Linked DNA regions of Drosophila melanogaster. The protein of the gene in region 1 interacts with the protein of each later gene in a pairwise test. Each region holds a gene or a part of one and is shown in the gene's direction. Other genes may lie near its edges.

Region 1 (5,313 bases):
TATATGGTGCTGCGGTCATCGCTCAGTCCCAGCACGGTGATGGGCTTATTGTGGCCCTTCACCACACGCAGCGGTTTCGAGGGATCCGCCACATTGAGGTAGGTGATCACGCCCGAAAGCGAGACGGTGATTAGGTTGTCTCCTTGCCACAAGCAGGACACCTGCTGGTCGTCCACAGTGGTGCCCATCACAAACTCGCTAACCAGCTCGCGCGACTCCACTGTCCAAAGGCGGCACGTCTTGTCGCCGGAGCAGGTTAGCAGTTGGGTGCTGTCTGGTTTCCAGGCCAATGCGTAAACGCCGCCCTTGTGGGCAGGAGATCCAAATTCGCCCACCAGTTCAGAGCTGGTGCCATCGTACAGAAAGACTTTGCCATCAAAGCCGGCGGAGGCGAAGAATTTGCCATCGGGCGAGTAGCGCACAGCCTGGACGAAGCGAGAGTGATCCTGCTTGGTCATCTTGAACTTGAACGGGGGTCCCTCGAACACGGCGATAGTATTGTCTTCGCTGCCTGTAATAACAAGTGTGTGTGTGTAAGTAAGTTTATTGCATTTTGGGACTATTATGTGAACTCACCCGTAACAATGCGGAATGGCCTGGCTGGCCGGAAGTCCGCCGAGTTAATAGACTTGGACTGGCCACTGATCTCGCCCACAGACGTGCCGGTTTCAGACATAAAGACATGACCGAAACGTTCGCGTCCTTCACCCACGGCAACGATGCGCTGATTGTCTGGCGACCAGCTAATATCCTTGATGGGTCCTGCAATGGGCTGGAACTCATTTTTAAGCAGGTGCTCCTTGTTGACCGTGTCCCAAATGCGAATCTTGCCGGAGGCGTCTGGTGAGAAGAGGAGAAAGCCAAATAAATAACATTGCTCGCTTCAAAACCGCAGATAAGATAAAGAAACCGCTCCAAATAAGGAAATGCTAATCATGACCGTGGCGTGACTCATAGTGGTCACGATTTTTATGCTCTGTTGCCGAAAGCCGGGTGCTCCAAGTGTGAAATTGCTGGGCGAGACTTACCACCAGATGCAATATAAAATCCGCTGGGCGAGTACTTGGCCACGTTCACTGCACACGAGTGCTCCGTGTAGACATCGGCAATGGCTGGATTCTATGGTGCGGAAGAAAGGGAAAAGCATACATACATATTTTAGAGACACTTTTAGCAAATTAAAACAAATTAATGGTAAATGGGATCCTAATTATGAACATAGGTGTTTGGTTTTGAATTTGTTATGTATGTTTCCTTCATTAACATTTCATTTTCCAGAACCTGAATATCTTTTGGCGGAAGATTTTATTTCTTGATCATTAAAGATACCATAGAAGTGGCGGGATTATCGGGACAAAAGACAAAGAAACATGGAAATATTTTGAATTTATACCGATTCAATGGGTGAAAGATAGGCAAACACATAGCTGCTGTGAAGAATCACTTTGACCAGATGAAAACATCATAATGATGATGCGTGGGCGGCAAACAAGAAATGTATCTATGTGCCAGTCTGTGTTTTGCCGGTTGGCCTGTGGAATGGGAATCTGTGTTTTGCGCCTTATATACTGTACATATATATATAAATAAATATAGAACAGCTGCCCGAAAGCCAGAAAGCACACACAAACTGGCAACAGAAACTGCAGCCTGTCCAAAAATAAAACACCATTTGGACGTAAATGCCATGGATTTATGGCAGGAACGGAGCAGCAGGCTGCAGCATATATCAGCTTACCTCGATGTTCCGGATGATCACAGAGTTTCCATTGGTGTACAGGAAGTTCTTGCCCTTGGGATCGGCACCCAAAACGATGGGTTGGCCGCGTTGGGTGCGCGGCAGAGTTGCGTAGATGTTTTCTGCAATTAAGCGATTATTTCGATTAGAAATGGGCTGTGACTGCTGCTACTCAGATAACGCCGGCAAATTGGAGTGGGTGGAAAATAGGGTGCGGCTTCGTTTTTGGGGAGCGAACGGGAACGGGGTCGCTCCAACGGCTCCACACGCGCCTCCTCTTACTGCTTAAAAAGGTCTTTCATATGCATCTATGCCCATTTATGGGCATAATCACGGTGCTTCCGGCGATTGCTTTCTGCTTTTACCGTTTTTCGCCTGTTGACTCATCCCCCTCTCTACGTATCACATTCGGAGTGGGATCGGATTCATGACTCCAGTTTATCTCTGTGGGATTCCAACTCACTGTTTTCGTACGCCGGTGGTTGGGGTTGTGCCATTCTGGTGATTTCTCGGTGCTCCTGAAGCCTTTACTAATTAGTGCGAAATTCCGCGGATAAATGAAAACACCAAACTCAAGTTCGCCGACGATTAGTGGTGGGCTAAGATCGATGTTTTCACCATCGTCGTCATCGATGGTTTTTTCTTTGCTTTATATCGACTTTGCGCTGCGTTTACCCCTTTTTAACAGCGAAGTGAACTGGAAGGAAATTAAAAATATATTGTTCTGTGTTTTATACTAACAGTAACTACTAATTGCTACCGTTTTTAATTATACACTAAAAAATTGTTTTTTTTTTTGGGATTGAGTTTTCAATTTCCTATATTTGAAAAGGAAATATATAATCAAAATTGTATTTTTATCTAATTTAATAAAATGTATATTTTTCAAAAACTATCTAAATATCGATAAATTGCGCCAAATAAATTAATCGGTCTCTGTGGTTCCCCACCTCTACCATTGTTTATATTTTTCATTTTCCGCAAGAATGATGCAAAGATTTCCGACGCAGGCGACCGTGGAGAATCCACGTTATGGACAGCTAATCATAGGACCTCCTGGTTCTGGGAAAACCACCTATTGCGGTGAGGCCCTTAAGTTCTATCGCGAACTGGGCCGTCAGGTGGGCGTTGTGAATCTGGATCCAGCCAACGAAAACATGTCCTACGAACCGGTGCTAAGTGTGATGGAGCTAATCACTGTGGAGGATTGCATGGAGCACCTGAAGCTGGGACCAAACGGAGCTCTAATGCACTGCGCTGAGTATCTGGCCGACCATTTGGAGGATTGGCTGTTGCCGGCACTGCGCAAACTAAGCGCCACTTACAACTACTTCCTGTTCGACTGTCCCGGCCAAGTTGAGCTATATACCCATCACAACGCTATGGCCCGGATTTTCGAGCGTTTGGAGCGTGAAAGATATAGCCTGGTCACCGTTAACCTTATAGATTCCCATTACTGCTCGGAGCCTGCCAAATTCATTGCCACTTTGCTGATGGCATTGAACACCATGTTGCGGATGAGTCTACCCCACGTTAATGTGCTTTCCAAGGCCGATCTGCTAAAGAAGCACGAGACCAAGTTACACTTTAACGTGGACTATTATACGGACGTCCTGGACCTCAAGTATCTGCTGGACAAACTGGACGATGATCCCGCCATGCGCAAGTATCGAAAACTGAATGCAGCCATCTGCTCCATGGTGGAGGACTACGCTCTCGTTTCGTTCCAACTGCTGGACGTCTTCAGCACGGACAGCATGCTCCGCTTGCGCAATCACATCGACAAGGCTAATGGATACGTCTACAAGGCAGGTGAGGAGCAGACGGTCAACTCACTACTAGCCTGCGCCGTGGGTGCAGAAACTGAGGCCGCTCGCATGGAGCATGATGTCCAACCCTATATGGAATAAAAGAACTGAAACTAATCGAAAATAGCCTGTGATATTGTGCATTGTATTTCGAAAATAAGTTATACAAGTCGAGAGTGAGGGATTAAGGTACGGAATGAAAAGCAGTGATTTTTTGGATTTATTAAAATATTATCTCGGCTTGAACTCTTAAACTTTTTTAGTTGTTTTTCTAACCACATATTTTTAAGAGGAAATAAACCTTTAAAGTTGTTTAAATACATTGCAATAAGAATGGTTGATAATCACTTGAGGATCACCTAATCGGAAAACACCAAGAGAACTCTACATTTGAACTTGGAAAATCCAGACCACCACTAGATGTCGCTGCAAACGTTAAAACGTATGATGTATGTAAAATTTTACAGATGTACAGAATTGTACGGGTTTGAATTCAGAATTATTAAATTAAATTTAATAAAAAAAAATACAACAAAAATCATTTCGTTTTGTTTTGTTTTTGGGCTTTGTTGACTTTTTCAGAAAATATGTCAAATGGAGAAAATTGTATTTATATAAATTATGATTTTAAGAATATCCTTTGCTAGGCGAATAAAAATTGACAATTGAACTGATCTAAAATATCAATAAAGAAACTTATACTAAATAATAACTTATTACATAAGAACAGGTATGAATTTCGAAGTCTGGTAGATCTCATCAAAAAGACCCACGTTTCTCGGTAAATTAGTTAGGCTTCAATCAAACAAAAGCGTCCTTTTTAGCATACAAAAACCAAAAGTTCAACTTGAGTCGAAAAGGATCTGCATCTGAACCCTATACTTTGATTTAACTAAAAGCAAAGTCCTCGTTAACATAAATAAAAATTAATTAAGTCCGAGGCGCGTTGTTTTGCGAGATAAGAGCTGGAACGACCGGTGAACATCTCGTGGCAAGCTGCAAATTGTGGCACGTGCACCACAAAACGGGATTGCCATTGACTCCTATACCACGACCAAGTCGTGAGCACTCGGGGGCTCCGTCTTGCAGACACGGGAAGACGCGTTGGGATATAAAAAAGCACCAGGAGTCATCTTATTTTAAGCCGATTCGTGAATCCCCTTTTGCGGGTAGCTTTTATTTAATGAAGCGAAAAAGTTGTTTATTAAAAACCAGCCAAGTTATGCTAATTTACGCTTGTTCTTAAATCTAAAAAGGAGTTATGGATCTTCCTTATACATGTTTAAATGATACGCTTTAGGATTTAAAACTCTTAAGGGCTAAAAAAGAATAAAGAGTTTTAAGAATTTATTGGATTTCTCACCAAAGAATGAGCGTTTACAACAAATCATGAAAGATAAATTTGCTGTATAGCATTGATTATAAAGATATTTAAAAGCCCTCTGCTTAAGCTGGTGGCTCCTCTTTGTAGGGCATAAGAAAACAGCGGCAAAAACGAAAACAGTTATTAAATGCAGCAGGCTCTTGTCAGATTGCAGCAGGCTGGCTGCCAATTCCCCAGTCCCCATTCCCATTCCCAATCCCCCAAAGCACCGATCCCCTTGACCGCAAGCCAAATTAAAATAAACGAAAGTGGTTTCGTGCCAGGACGAAGTGAGTGGGGCTCGGATTCGTTTTGCCTTTGCGATTTGTGTAAAGCAGCGGGCTGCGGTTTCTTGTTTTTTTGGCACACGCTCTGCAGGATAATTCGTCGCGTCCTCAAAAGCC
Region 2 (5,299 bases), on another chromosome or scaffold:
ACGCCTGCCAGAAAGTTGTCGCAGAGCTTCCAGCTGGACATCGTGGACGCGCAGGCTGTGACCGCCAAGCAAAGTTTGCTCAGCGCCGTGGGCATGATTCTGGCAATGCATCGTCCATACAAACGGAGTAACAACGCGCACTTTAAAGCCTTCGTCTGCGCCGGACTCAAGTGAGTTATTTACATGGGCTAAACGCTGGGAAATCGAAGGAATGTTAGTTAAGATGAATTTACAAGCCGCATAACTTTGCAATACCATATTATTTACAGGTGCATAGTTTGAAGCACTAGCCTTTTACATCTTCAAATCTTCATTTTATAGTTATTTTCCTGGCAAAGAGGAATCTTAAAGAGCAAGAGACACACAAACTTTTTATAATTACAAGTGTCCAAAATCAAAATATTCTTACTGCAATTATCAGCAATTCTGCGGTAATGTCAATTCTCTACTGTCTTAAACTTTTTTATCAATGAATTGCTTAATCGATTTTTTGCTTTAACATGTAAATATAAATATGTAAATATTAATATATTTAGCTAGGTGCAGGTAGCTTTTGACTTTGCAGTCTGCCGAATTAATTTAAGCATAAGGCTAACAGGGACGCGGGGATAGACCTTTACCTTGGCTTTTATCACACTTCTTTCATTCGAAATGCTTTTCTCTTCCTTCAAACAGTTCCCATTTGCTGGTGGAGTGGCTGAACCTGATCCTCAGCTGCCATGAACTGGTGGACACGTACTACTCAGCAGACAGCTACGTGGCCCGCACCGGATTCCGCGACTCACTGCGCTCCATCGATGCTCTTTCTCGATTTGACTTCGACCTGCCGGTGGACCTGGCCATCCGGCACTTCCGCAACATCTAAGGGCGGCTGACTTGTACATTTTTTGGCTTAGACTAGATCACACTATTCAATGTCCAACGTATTCTCTCTCTCACTTATGTATAAACTCGTGTATATAACCTTAGATATGTCCCATAAAATCAATTGCTAATCCTAACGAAAGTGCGTGCTGTAGAATTCGTGTAGGCACTGGCTGATCTTGTCGCCCAGTGGACGTTCCAGGGGTCCACACGGGATGCTGGCGAGGAGTAGCCTGGCCTGCTTTTGGTCTGCACACTCCGCGTATGCGTCCAGCAGCCAGCGTGGAGTGGGGTATCTTTCCACAATAGCCATGGCGCGTTCGAGGGAAAGGGAATGCAGCTGTAGCAACTGTTGCACGAAAACCTCGCGCACTGTGAGCTGGGCATTCTTTGCGGAATCCTCATATAGGGCCCGAAACTTGAGCAACCCCAGGTCGGAATGCGTGAGCAGGCAGGTGGATTGGTCGATGGCGCCGCGATCCACGCTGTGCAACTTCTTGCCGGCGAATATCTGGCCAAGGGTGCGACTCATTCCGGCCAAATAGCTCATGGATCGGTAATGATTCGCCGTGCGCACCACTCGGACACCAGTTTGAACTTTGGCATTAGTCAGAGCCTGCTGCAAGGAGTCCAGTGGAAGGCCCAGCTGCTCGTTATCGCCATAGTCCTCGACCAGGTAGATGATGTGCTGCAGGCCGCAGTGCTGCAGCCTGTGCTTCTGTTCGTGGAAGCGACCATCCCGAATACTCGATGCCAGGTCGTCCATCCTCTTGCGCTCCACAATGTAGGGTAAAACCAGTTCATTGCCCTCTTGATCCTGGGCCACCCAAAGGAAATCGCCGATTGTCAGGCGACGCACTTCATGACGGGCTCCCAAGGACTCCAAGTAGCTCCTCGTCTGGTCCAGAACTCTCTTGTTTTTGCCACTGGTTTCCTGAGTATCCACCAAAAGGAGTAACTGGAATTGACCTGGTTTCATTCGCACGACGCGCTCCCGCTCTTCAAGGGCTGCCAGCTCCGCCAGATCTTTTTTGGTTAGCTTCCTGGGCCTGTCGCATTTATTCTGGCGTTTCTGGTGTTCCAGCTGCTTCTCCTGAACCTTGCGTACTACCGCCTGGACCTGCTGCTCGTAGCGCTCCTGAACCACGGCCTCCTGTGGCAGCAATTGGAGGCCTCTGTGATGGCGAAGTTCCTCGTCGATTAGCTGGCAGAGGGTGCCCCCAAAGCCGCGCAGAATGGAACAGTCTCGTCCGCTGGCCAATGGCAGAGGGTAGCTTTTTAGGGACTCCAACGCCTGGCGCAGGCTAAACTGGGACTTCTGTTCTCGGCGCTCCGCTTCGCGCAGCCAGCGCTCCAGCCAACGGGTGAACAATGGATTCGGCTCCCGCAAGAGCACTTCCAGTCGGGTCTCCATTGCTTCACAACTTTTATTATGTAAAACAATGCCAAATAATAAAACTAATGCACGGCAAATAAACGCGCTTCAATTGCCGGCTTCTGGTGGTGGCATTTTTATTACTGTACAACTAGTTTAAAGCTTATTATGGCTTTCGATATATACGGTATGTTCTAAACTCTTCGGTATTTTTTTTTGATTTGTTTTTTTGGCGGGCAAGCAAAAACTGAACTGGCAAAACTGAAGATGTGTGATTCCACGAAGGCTGCTGCGATTAAGGGAGTGTGTTAACTATGTAATGGCCGACATGTTTCCACGCAGGATAAAAAGCAGCAACAACAGCTGATGTTTGTTGGTATCTGAAGCGAATTCAGGCGGCGCAAAGAGCACACTTTCCATAGGACGGTCACACTGCCTCTGCACGCTTGTTTTTGCGCCTCCTGTTTTTGTTTTGATTCTTAGTGAAGCCGTGAGAGAAATGGCAGAGGGAGTGGAGAGCATCAAGCTGGAGGCGCTGTCGCTGAGCGAGGGAATCCGGGAGTCGCCCGTGTGCATACTGGTGCTGGGAATGGCCGGCAGCGGGAAGACCACGTTCACACAGAAGCTCATCCAGCACGCCCAGGAGAAGTTCAATCCGTACGTGGTCAACCTGGATCCGGCGTGCAGGGAAGTACCGTACGCGGCGCACGTGGACATACGGGACACGGTCAACTACCGGGAGGTGATGAAGCAGTACCAACTGGGTCCCAACGGTGGCATTGTGACCGCGCTCAATATGTTCACCACCAAAATGGCACAGTTTGCGGAGCTAGTGCGTCGCGCTGGCGAGCGCGGACACAAGTGGTGTGTGATCGACACGCCCGGACAGATCGAGGTGTTTAACTGGTCGGCTTCCGGGAGCATCATAACCGAGGGACTGGCCACCATGTTTCCCACCATTGTGGTCTATGTAATGGATGTGGAGCGCAGTGCTTGCCCTACCACCTTCATGTCCAACATGCTGTACGCCTGCTCCATCCTGTACAAGACCCGTTTGCCCTTCCTTGTGGCGCTGAACAAGGTAACGACTTTCCCGGCAACCCAGATATCCAGATGTATAGAAAACTTCTTTTCCGCTTCAAACAGATCGACCTAAAGGACTGCGGATTTGTGATGGATTGGATGACAGACTTCGAGGCCTTCCAGGAGGCCCAGGAGGAGGAGCACAGCTTCGTGAGCAACCTCACGCGCACCATGTCGCTCACCCTGGACACCTTCTACGAGAATCTAAGAACGTGCGGCGTCTCGGCCAAGACAGGCGTAGGCTTCACCCAGCTACTGACGAAGATTCTCGAAAGCGTGGACGAGTACGAGACGGACTACAAGCCTGTTTACGAAAAGAAGCGCCAAGAGCGACTGGCGGAGAGTGCGACGGGTCCAAAGCCAGTGGATCATGTGGAAGAGGACGGCCATGCCGTTCCCCTGGGATTGTCGCTTCAGGTAGGAACAGTTCCTCGGCTATTTGTGCACCCACTGCAGGGTCTTAACTATTTCAGGACCCACCGCCGCACACTGGAAACAGCATTTTCCTAATGGCACCTAGTCTGGTGCCCGAGTCGGCGGAAATCGAAGACGAGGAGGAGATGGAGGAGGACGCGAAGGGCACCGCCGAAGAACAAAACTTCCACAGCTTCGTGCAGAACCACCTGACTGCCCAGCAGAGCAAGCGGGACAAACTGCAGCAGGAACAGGAACAGGCTCAGCCGTAAATGGGCGGATTGTGATCCTCGATGGCTATGGATTTCGTGATTTCGAGTTTTCATTTTTATTATTTACTTTAACAAGCAAAAACATTCAATATAGTGTGTGTTCGTCACTTGCACCTCCGATATTTGGTTTGTATATATGGACTTAGTTTAGCTTTGCAAATTAGTGATAACATATACATATGGAGGATATATCCCGCTCGTAAATGTAAATGCAAGCCTCATACTTTGCGTAACTTACTCTGTATATATATATATGTATGCAGATAAATATATATATATTTACATTTATGCTGTATGTATCATGTGTGGTGTGTACTGCGTTGAGCAAATAAATTGTGTGTCGCGTGTGTTGGCTGCTGCGCCCGATATCTTACGCTTTATAGTTGCTTCTCTGGATTTGGTTGTCTCGTTATTGGCTGCCGCTTTAAATATTACGCTTACAAAAATACAGATCATCTCAAATACTTGTCAATGCCTCACAGTTATACACAGTTTATATAGACGAACAGTAGTCCCCCGCTACGGTTTCTCACCGCCCTACTGCTCACTGCCCAACTGTCCCATCTGAATCGAATCGAATCGAATCGCCAAGCGTTTTGGGCCAAGACGGACTTGCATCCCCATCCCCATCCCCGCCTGCCTGTGCTGCAAATTAGGTGTAGTCGCTTGCAAAAAAATATTCATATCTCTGGACGTTTCATTTGATTTGAGTGCGTTTTCCGAGGGCTGTGCCTCGGTGCTTTTGTGCCTCGGTGCTCCCTTTTCCGCGATGCGTCCACCAATTGGTTTCAGAGCAGCAGGAACAGCAGACACAAAAGGTGGATTGTGTTTAAAAAGCTCGGTTAGTTTGGAAAGTACTTCGGATGAGATCGAACATTGTCACATCTTCGTGCCGAGAGCCCAGCTATTGGTGGTGCACGGAGGGGCTCAGTGGCCAGCGTGGACACCACCACATCCCTCGCACGTCAAGTTATCAAGCTAGCTCTTGCATTTATGCATATTTATAAGTAACGGGTATCTTGGGGATCACACACACACACATACACACACACTATCAGCACACACACGCACACAGTTTTGTAAGGATGGGTGATTGGTAAGAGGGGGGGGACAGTGCGGGGTGAAGACAAGCATTGGAAAAATTTGGGGATAGCTAAACAGTAGTTTCAGAAACAGTCTTCTTCGTGCTTGGATTACTCTTTGCTCCGCCTTCCGCCTGCCTCATGGCCAGAAGCGGAGGGGAAATTTGGGGATCGGGATCGGGATTAGCATACTGGATCAGCTGGCGTGG
Region 3 (6,467 bases), on another chromosome or scaffold:
TTTTTTGTTTTTTTTGATAGGGGAAGTGGAGCAGATTGCAAGCGATATCGCTGCAAACTACAAGTATACGTATCTTTTCGCGATTTCGCAGTCAGACTCAGTCGTGCTCAGTCAGTACCACTTGCACCCATGTTCGACCCATTTTCTAGCTGGCTGTAACGATTTCCTGTTCGAACCGTGATTGATGACAGGCGACCATGGAGCAGGAAGGTGGATATCTGTTGGATGCAAAAGTCTTAAGTACACGCAACAGTGAGCTGCTTGATTGGATACCTGGATACATGGATACTTCGGCAGTTCGGCACTTGCGAGTAGTGCCCAGTAACATTCACCGCATTTCACGCCCGTTGCACTTTAATTGCCAACTGTTTTCCGATACCGCGGATATCATTTCATAAGTTCTTAATTACGTATACGACGGGGTGGCCCGCAGCACTGGCGCTTCATCAGGGTGCCAGTAAAATGGGTTGGTGTCAATCGTGCAATGCATTAGCTACATGTCATTCCAACTTAAATGAGTTATTTAATTGTAAAAGTTTTTCGTTTTTTTGTTCAATTTTCAGTTATATCCGTTCAGTTATCATTTATATATGTATAAATGACTGCCGAGTATGCCAAAAATTCGTTGCCTCAACCATGGTGTTATTCATTTTGCTACTGATTGAATTTCTCTGGGGCTTTCGGCTTCTAATTTCGTTCGCCCTACCTAAGGTCATCACCCCAATCACCTTCCCCGTTTGCCCATAAGCAGTTTTTGATTTACATGGCCAGAATTGAATTTATTTATCTCCCTCTCGTCAAATCGCATTCTCCCTTCCGAAAATTCTGATTTGGTAACAACAATAAAGCAGATTGGCAGTGAGGCAGCGGAGCAGTTGTAACCGAAACAAAATAAACGGAATTGAAATGTCCCTGGACCTGGTCATGATTTATAGCATTGCATAGCGACTGGATATTCTAAACTTGTTGGTACTAACAAAAAACCCGTCGCTTTCCCACACTTCCTTCCCCCCCCCTCGTACAAACATAAAACAAAAACATAAAAATGAAATAAAATATTATTTGAAATATGTGTGCTGTGCGAATTCCATGATTGAGCATAAATAAAGTGTATAGTAAGCTGGCACAAACAGAGCTCATGAATTTGGTAAATAAACTGTTTTGACAACTTGGGGCTCGTGTGCGCAAACAAAAAGGGTTTATTTTTTCCCTTCTGTTTTTTAGTTTCACTGCCAGGAGTTCTGAACTACCGGTAAATTGCTAAGCAGTGAATAATTCTATATCCTCTAGTACTCCTCTCATCGCAAAACCGGAAAACAAAAGCCCTTTATAGCCTACCATTCCTCTAGTTTTCGCCATTCCTTGCCATTGTCCTAGTGCTCCACTTGTTTACTTTAAATGGAAGGGCATTGTGTTAACCAGAACACAATATTCACTTCCTTTGGTGCAGGTTATTTCACCAGATATTTGTACATATATTAAGCTATCCAGTTGGCATCTTTATGAAATCATTTGTTTTAAAAGAAGAGTTTCCGAAACAAGAAAATGGATTTAAACATTTAAGCCTATTATGCAATAAAATAAATAGGCATTAGGTAAATTAAGAGCTGATTTTAAGATGATGAGCGATGTGTGCAATCATAATTTGCGCGGGTGCTAACTGCGGCATGTGCCCCGAATATCCTGGATCTCTCGCCTGTCCTGCCTTTTTCAAGCTGGCTTCGTAAAACCGTCACAAAGTAACGCATGTGGAGCTTAACGACTGCGACCATAATGTGAGGACAAGCTGCTCCGTCTCAACGCCATCAAAACCGGACATGACATCGGATTCGGCTGGAAGCCAAGAGTCTTCTTGGGTGAAAACCTGAACCTAAGACCGCCAAAAGAAACACGTTGGAATAAAAAAAATGCACAGCAGAAAAGAGTAATAGAACCATCAAAGTTTATATGCTTTATGTTTTCACTTTTAACGCTTTTTAGGGCGGAACAGAAAGGCATGGCGCAAAAGGCAGATGATGTAGCGGCCCATTGTCATCGAAGATGATTTATTGCCCCGACTGCAAGTGGCCAAAAAAACAAAAAAATCATGATTATTCCGTTGTCATAGCGTAAGGCGTACAAAGAGGCGAGCTGAATTATCGAGTATACGCAGCGTTGGTCACCGCTGGCGGATATATATTCAGCTGCATTTAAGCTCCTCCGCAGGCGAGCTCATAGGACGGTGTCCTGCTGCTCTTGAATATCGCATTCTCAAGACCTTCTGCTTAAGAATTTCAATAACATTTTACTCATATTTACAGCCTTCTTTGTACATCACGTTCCCTTATTTAAGATGTTCGTTTTTAGTAAGCTATTTGTTAATTTTTATTACAGAAGTAGTTTATAAAGTATAAGAAACAAAATCTCATGGTAAGTAAGTTTTTTCAGTAGGCTGGAATTAAGGTAAGCAAGTATTATCCGAAATATTTCAGAAAGGTCCTACGGAGAACTTCACGGCAGTAAGTCGTTTAGCCAGAGCTTTTCGGAAAAAGCTTTCGGAGTAGCAGTAACAGGTTCGCCTGTTGGCAACAGCTGGCCCAAACCGTTTACGGCCAAGTTAACAGGGAAGCAACAGTGCGCTGGCCGATTTAAAATAGCGCGTCCGCTGACAAGACGACTCAGTTCCTGTTCAGCCACAGTCGGTTACGTTTGCCGTGAACCGAGAGCCCCCGGAAAAGTAGTGTCGAGGATTAGAAGTGTGGAGCAGTTATATTCAGTATCGAAAGGAGTCAGTCAGAACAGATCCCAAATCGGACAATCCGATCGAACATTTCAAATCCAAATCCCAATCCAATTCAATTCCAAATTTAAATTGAAAATCAAAATTTTTTTGAAAGACACTGTCTCGCGTGCTCATTGAAATATCAACAAAGAAATCAAGGTTTGAACTCTGGTTCTTCCTCTCATTTGGTGTCTGTTGTACGTATTTTTTTTTGTTAATTTTTTGAAAGTGCGTGCGTGTTATGGAAAGTTTGTTTGAGGGGCTTTCTTTTTGAACAACAAAACACCAGCAGAAAGAAGAAAAAAAAAAAAAAACACACGAACCTAAAGCGAAAAAAGTAGGTAACAACAAAGCGGCTAAGCGGTAAAGTCGGAGGTCAGGTATCCTTGGTGCCCCTGTCCAGCCAGCTATTATAAGCCATCGTTTTCCTTTTCATTTTTTTTGCTTAGCTCGGCTCTTTCGAGGTGTAGTATCCAGTTTATGCAGACCTATGCAGAAAATTTTATTTTATTTCATTTCGTTTGAGTTTGGTTTGGTTTGGTTTAGGTTCGTTATTTCCTCTTGCTCTTGCTTGGGTTCCGGTTCCTTTCGTCTTTCTTCCTATTTTGTTTTTTTTTTTTTTGGTAATTTTGTGTTGCTTTTTCATATTTGATGAGGACGTGTTCGCAGACACAGGGGGGTGTCATCTATATATACGCTATCCTAAAACAGAAGCTCCAGTTCCTCTCCTTGGGCACCGTTTTATACTTTATTTATCTGTCGTACCCGCCCACTCAGACTCATCCACCCATCCAACCGTGGCCTTTTGTTATGCATGGCCGTGTGAATCATTCATATGCAAATGCTGTGAAAATTCCCATTTATGTTTTGAGGAAACCCGTAGAAGCCACAGAAATAAGAGTAGTTCTTCTTATGGTCTTGCGGTCTTTCTGGTCCTTTGATCCGAGTTGAAGGGTATCAGGTATTAGGAGAATGGGGTATGGGGCATTTGTAGTCAAACGATCACAACTGGCCGCCAAATGCCATATTTTGGTATCCATTAAGTGTTGCCTACTTATCGGCGGCAGCTGATAGCTCTGCTTTGTTTGTCCTGGCCAATTACGCCGGTGAGCAGTTCATTTGCGACCATGACTAACCGCTTTCCGCCCTAATCTAATCGGCTTTTGCCCTTCAGCCCGTTTGATTCCTAATCGTATGTGAATGATTCGAGATTTGCGGTTCTGTCTGCTTCGCATGTGCTATTCAATTTGTATTTGTTTTTTTTACTATGTGTTTGGTTAAATAAATGTTTATGGATGTAGAGAAAATGTTACTTACCTTATTTACTTTGCAATCATAAATATTTAATCATGAAAAGAGTTGGAATGTTTGTATAGTGGCTTAAATAAAGTTTGCGCTGAAAAGCATGCTACACTTTTTGCTTAAACCCCGAGTGGGGTTTTGAATCCCTTTAACAAATAACCAAATCCACAAAGTGGCGATGTTCTTACTCCTTTTTTAATTACTTGAATTGTCCGGTGCTTCACTATATATATGTATGTATATATGCTTTAATCCGCTCTGGGTGATCAATTGTAATCGGCAGGATGTTGACGCATTAAGCCCCTTGTCCGTCACAGCCACTGGCTCTTAGCCTTTTTGCTGCTTTTCCATTGCGGCTCAAAAACAGGGAGATATTTCTGCTCTGCAAATTAACAGATTAGTGGGATAATAAATATAGATTTTTAAAGCATTTAAGTAGCTTCCCAGCTAAAATAAATCATCCAAAAATTAACTCAACTTGCTCTATTTGCGCTTTGCCACTCATTATTGGTAAGGGAGTTAATTTTATATAAATATGAACGTTATTTTAATGGGTCTTCTTCAGTCCAACGCAGTTTCTAATTTACTCGCCCGAAGCGTTGAAATAATATTATAGTTTCTCTCCTACCTTCGCCACAATTTAAAATCCAGTAAGGAGAACTTTTTGCTTTTTATTTTAACATTGCGGCTAATTTGGTCCGACCATCAAACCAACAACAGACAAAAAGAAAATGTAAATGAAAAAAAAACACCAGGAAATGAGGAAGAAAGTAAGAAAAGTGAGGGCTGGGTGTAAGAGGCTTTCCACCAGCCACAGCAATTAATTTACATTAATTTTCCTTTGTTCGCATGGCATTGTTTTGTTTCGTTTCATTTCTTCTTTTCCATTTTATTTTTTTACTTCATGCCTGGGCAGCCGCAGCGGCAGCAGCGATTTTATTAAAAAACAATTACAACACTTGGGCATCTGCTCTGTACCATTTCATCGCGACCTGGAAAGGACCCGTCCATATTAGCAGGACCTAGAAAAAAGAAAAAAACCCGAAACGGAAAGAGCCAGGATGTCGGACAAGCAGCAGGAAAAGGAGCCAATCCCCGAGGAGGAGCAGCAGCAGGAGCAGGAGCGGGAGCATGAGGCTCCTGGCAGCAGACATGCCTGTTGCGGATCTGGACCGGATCCGGAAGCGGAACCGGAAGTGGAGATGGATGTCGAGGTGGAGGAGGCATCGGGATCAGCAATTGGCGCTGCAGCTGCTGGCGAATCGGATGCACCCGCTCCGGCCAATCCAAATCCGGGGCTGGAACGCGACAGGGACAGGGACTCGCACGGCGACAGGTGAGTGAAGCGAATTCCGATACAGATTCCCATTCCGATAGCCATTCCCGTTCCGAACACTCCATCGACATCCAGCCCATCCTCGCGCTCCGAGCGACCTTGTCAATATCCATTAGCTAATTGGGCATGCGATGTTGTGGAGGCAAGTCGGGCCAAAAGTTGGGCCTAGTCTGGCCCGAAAAGTGAAGCCAACTGTCCCAAATTAAATCAACACCATTACAATATATCGAATAGCATGCCCATACATACATACATAATTTAATTATATTAACCGATATGTATATATATATATATATATTATACGGAAATTAGTTCATCCAATACAACAAGTAAGACATTATAAATATGTAAAGTTATAGGTCTTCTAATGTATGTTTAACAAATACCTATTAAGTATAACCCTATAATATAGTATTTATTATACATATTATGTATATAATCCTTGTAAAATCTTTGAAATCTCCAGCTTGAAACAAACGCTTAATATACAATTAACTCCAAGTGTTTTAAAAACACAGAGTCATAATATAATTACACCACTCCAAATGACTTCGGTGTCAATTAGCCCAAGTTGACCCACTCTTTAGATCGCAATCCTTAACCTAATCTCATACCCTAATTTTCTGGGTAAAAACCTTTGTTGACTGCTATGTACAACGAATTAACACATTTTGCAGTTTGGTGGGGGATTCCAATTGGGGAAGCTTTATAAATAGATACCAGCCACTCCCCGAAAATAGACCTTAAAGCGAGTCCTTTGGGAACTTTTTGGATGACAAGCGCACCCTTTTTTGTCATTTTTTTTTTCTGGATGTCAACTTGCCCGAAGAAACTTCTTTCATAATTAAAAAGTTGTTTATTGGAATGTAATATTTAGTGTGCCACGTCTTCGAAATATTAATATAATATTCGATTTTTGCGCTTATATGTAAATTATAGTTCATGAATGAAATTAGGAGATCTTATCTCTATTGGCTCTATTGCCCGCTGATTGTGCACTCCATATCGCAATGTAATTTATGATCGGATTAAAAGAAAATTTATTTCTAAAGTACACCTCGTGGCCTA

Evidence for each region.
Region 2: the proteins of CG10222 (region 1) and CG3704 interact in a two-hybrid assay, tested with the Drosophila melanogaster proteins (one large-scale study listed by BioGRID).
Region 3: the proteins of CG10222 (region 1) and CG32683 interact in a two-hybrid assay, tested with the Drosophila melanogaster proteins (one large-scale study listed by BioGRID).

The regions. Positions count from the first base shown.
Region 1 is NT_037436.4:13,409,864-13,415,176, reverse strand, and holds CG10222 (uncharacterized protein), read left to right. Parts: upstream 1-2,723; 5' UTR 2,724-2,724; coding exon 2,725-3,648; 3' UTR 3,649-4,055; downstream 4,056-5,313. Other genes in the region: flr (flare), read right to left, coding at 1-511, 577-840, 1,029-1,119, 1,739-1,860, 2,202-2,235.
Region 2 is NC_004354.4:938,173-943,471, reverse strand, and holds CG3704 (uncharacterized protein), read left to right. Parts: upstream 1-2,666; 5' UTR 2,667-2,738; coding exon 2,739-3,320; intron 3,321-3,385; coding exon 3,386-3,739; intron 3,740-3,795; coding exon 3,796-4,008; 3' UTR 4,009-4,302; downstream 4,303-5,299. Other genes in the region: CG3703 (uncharacterized protein), read left to right, coding at 1-170, 676-865; mus81, read right to left, coding at 998-2,278.
Region 3 is NC_004354.4:10,451,089-10,457,555, reverse strand, and holds the start of CG32683 (uncharacterized protein), read left to right. Parts: upstream 1-2,660; 5' UTR 2,661-2,920; intron 2,921-5,063; 5' UTR 5,064-5,124; coding exon 5,125-5,399; intron 5,400-6,467.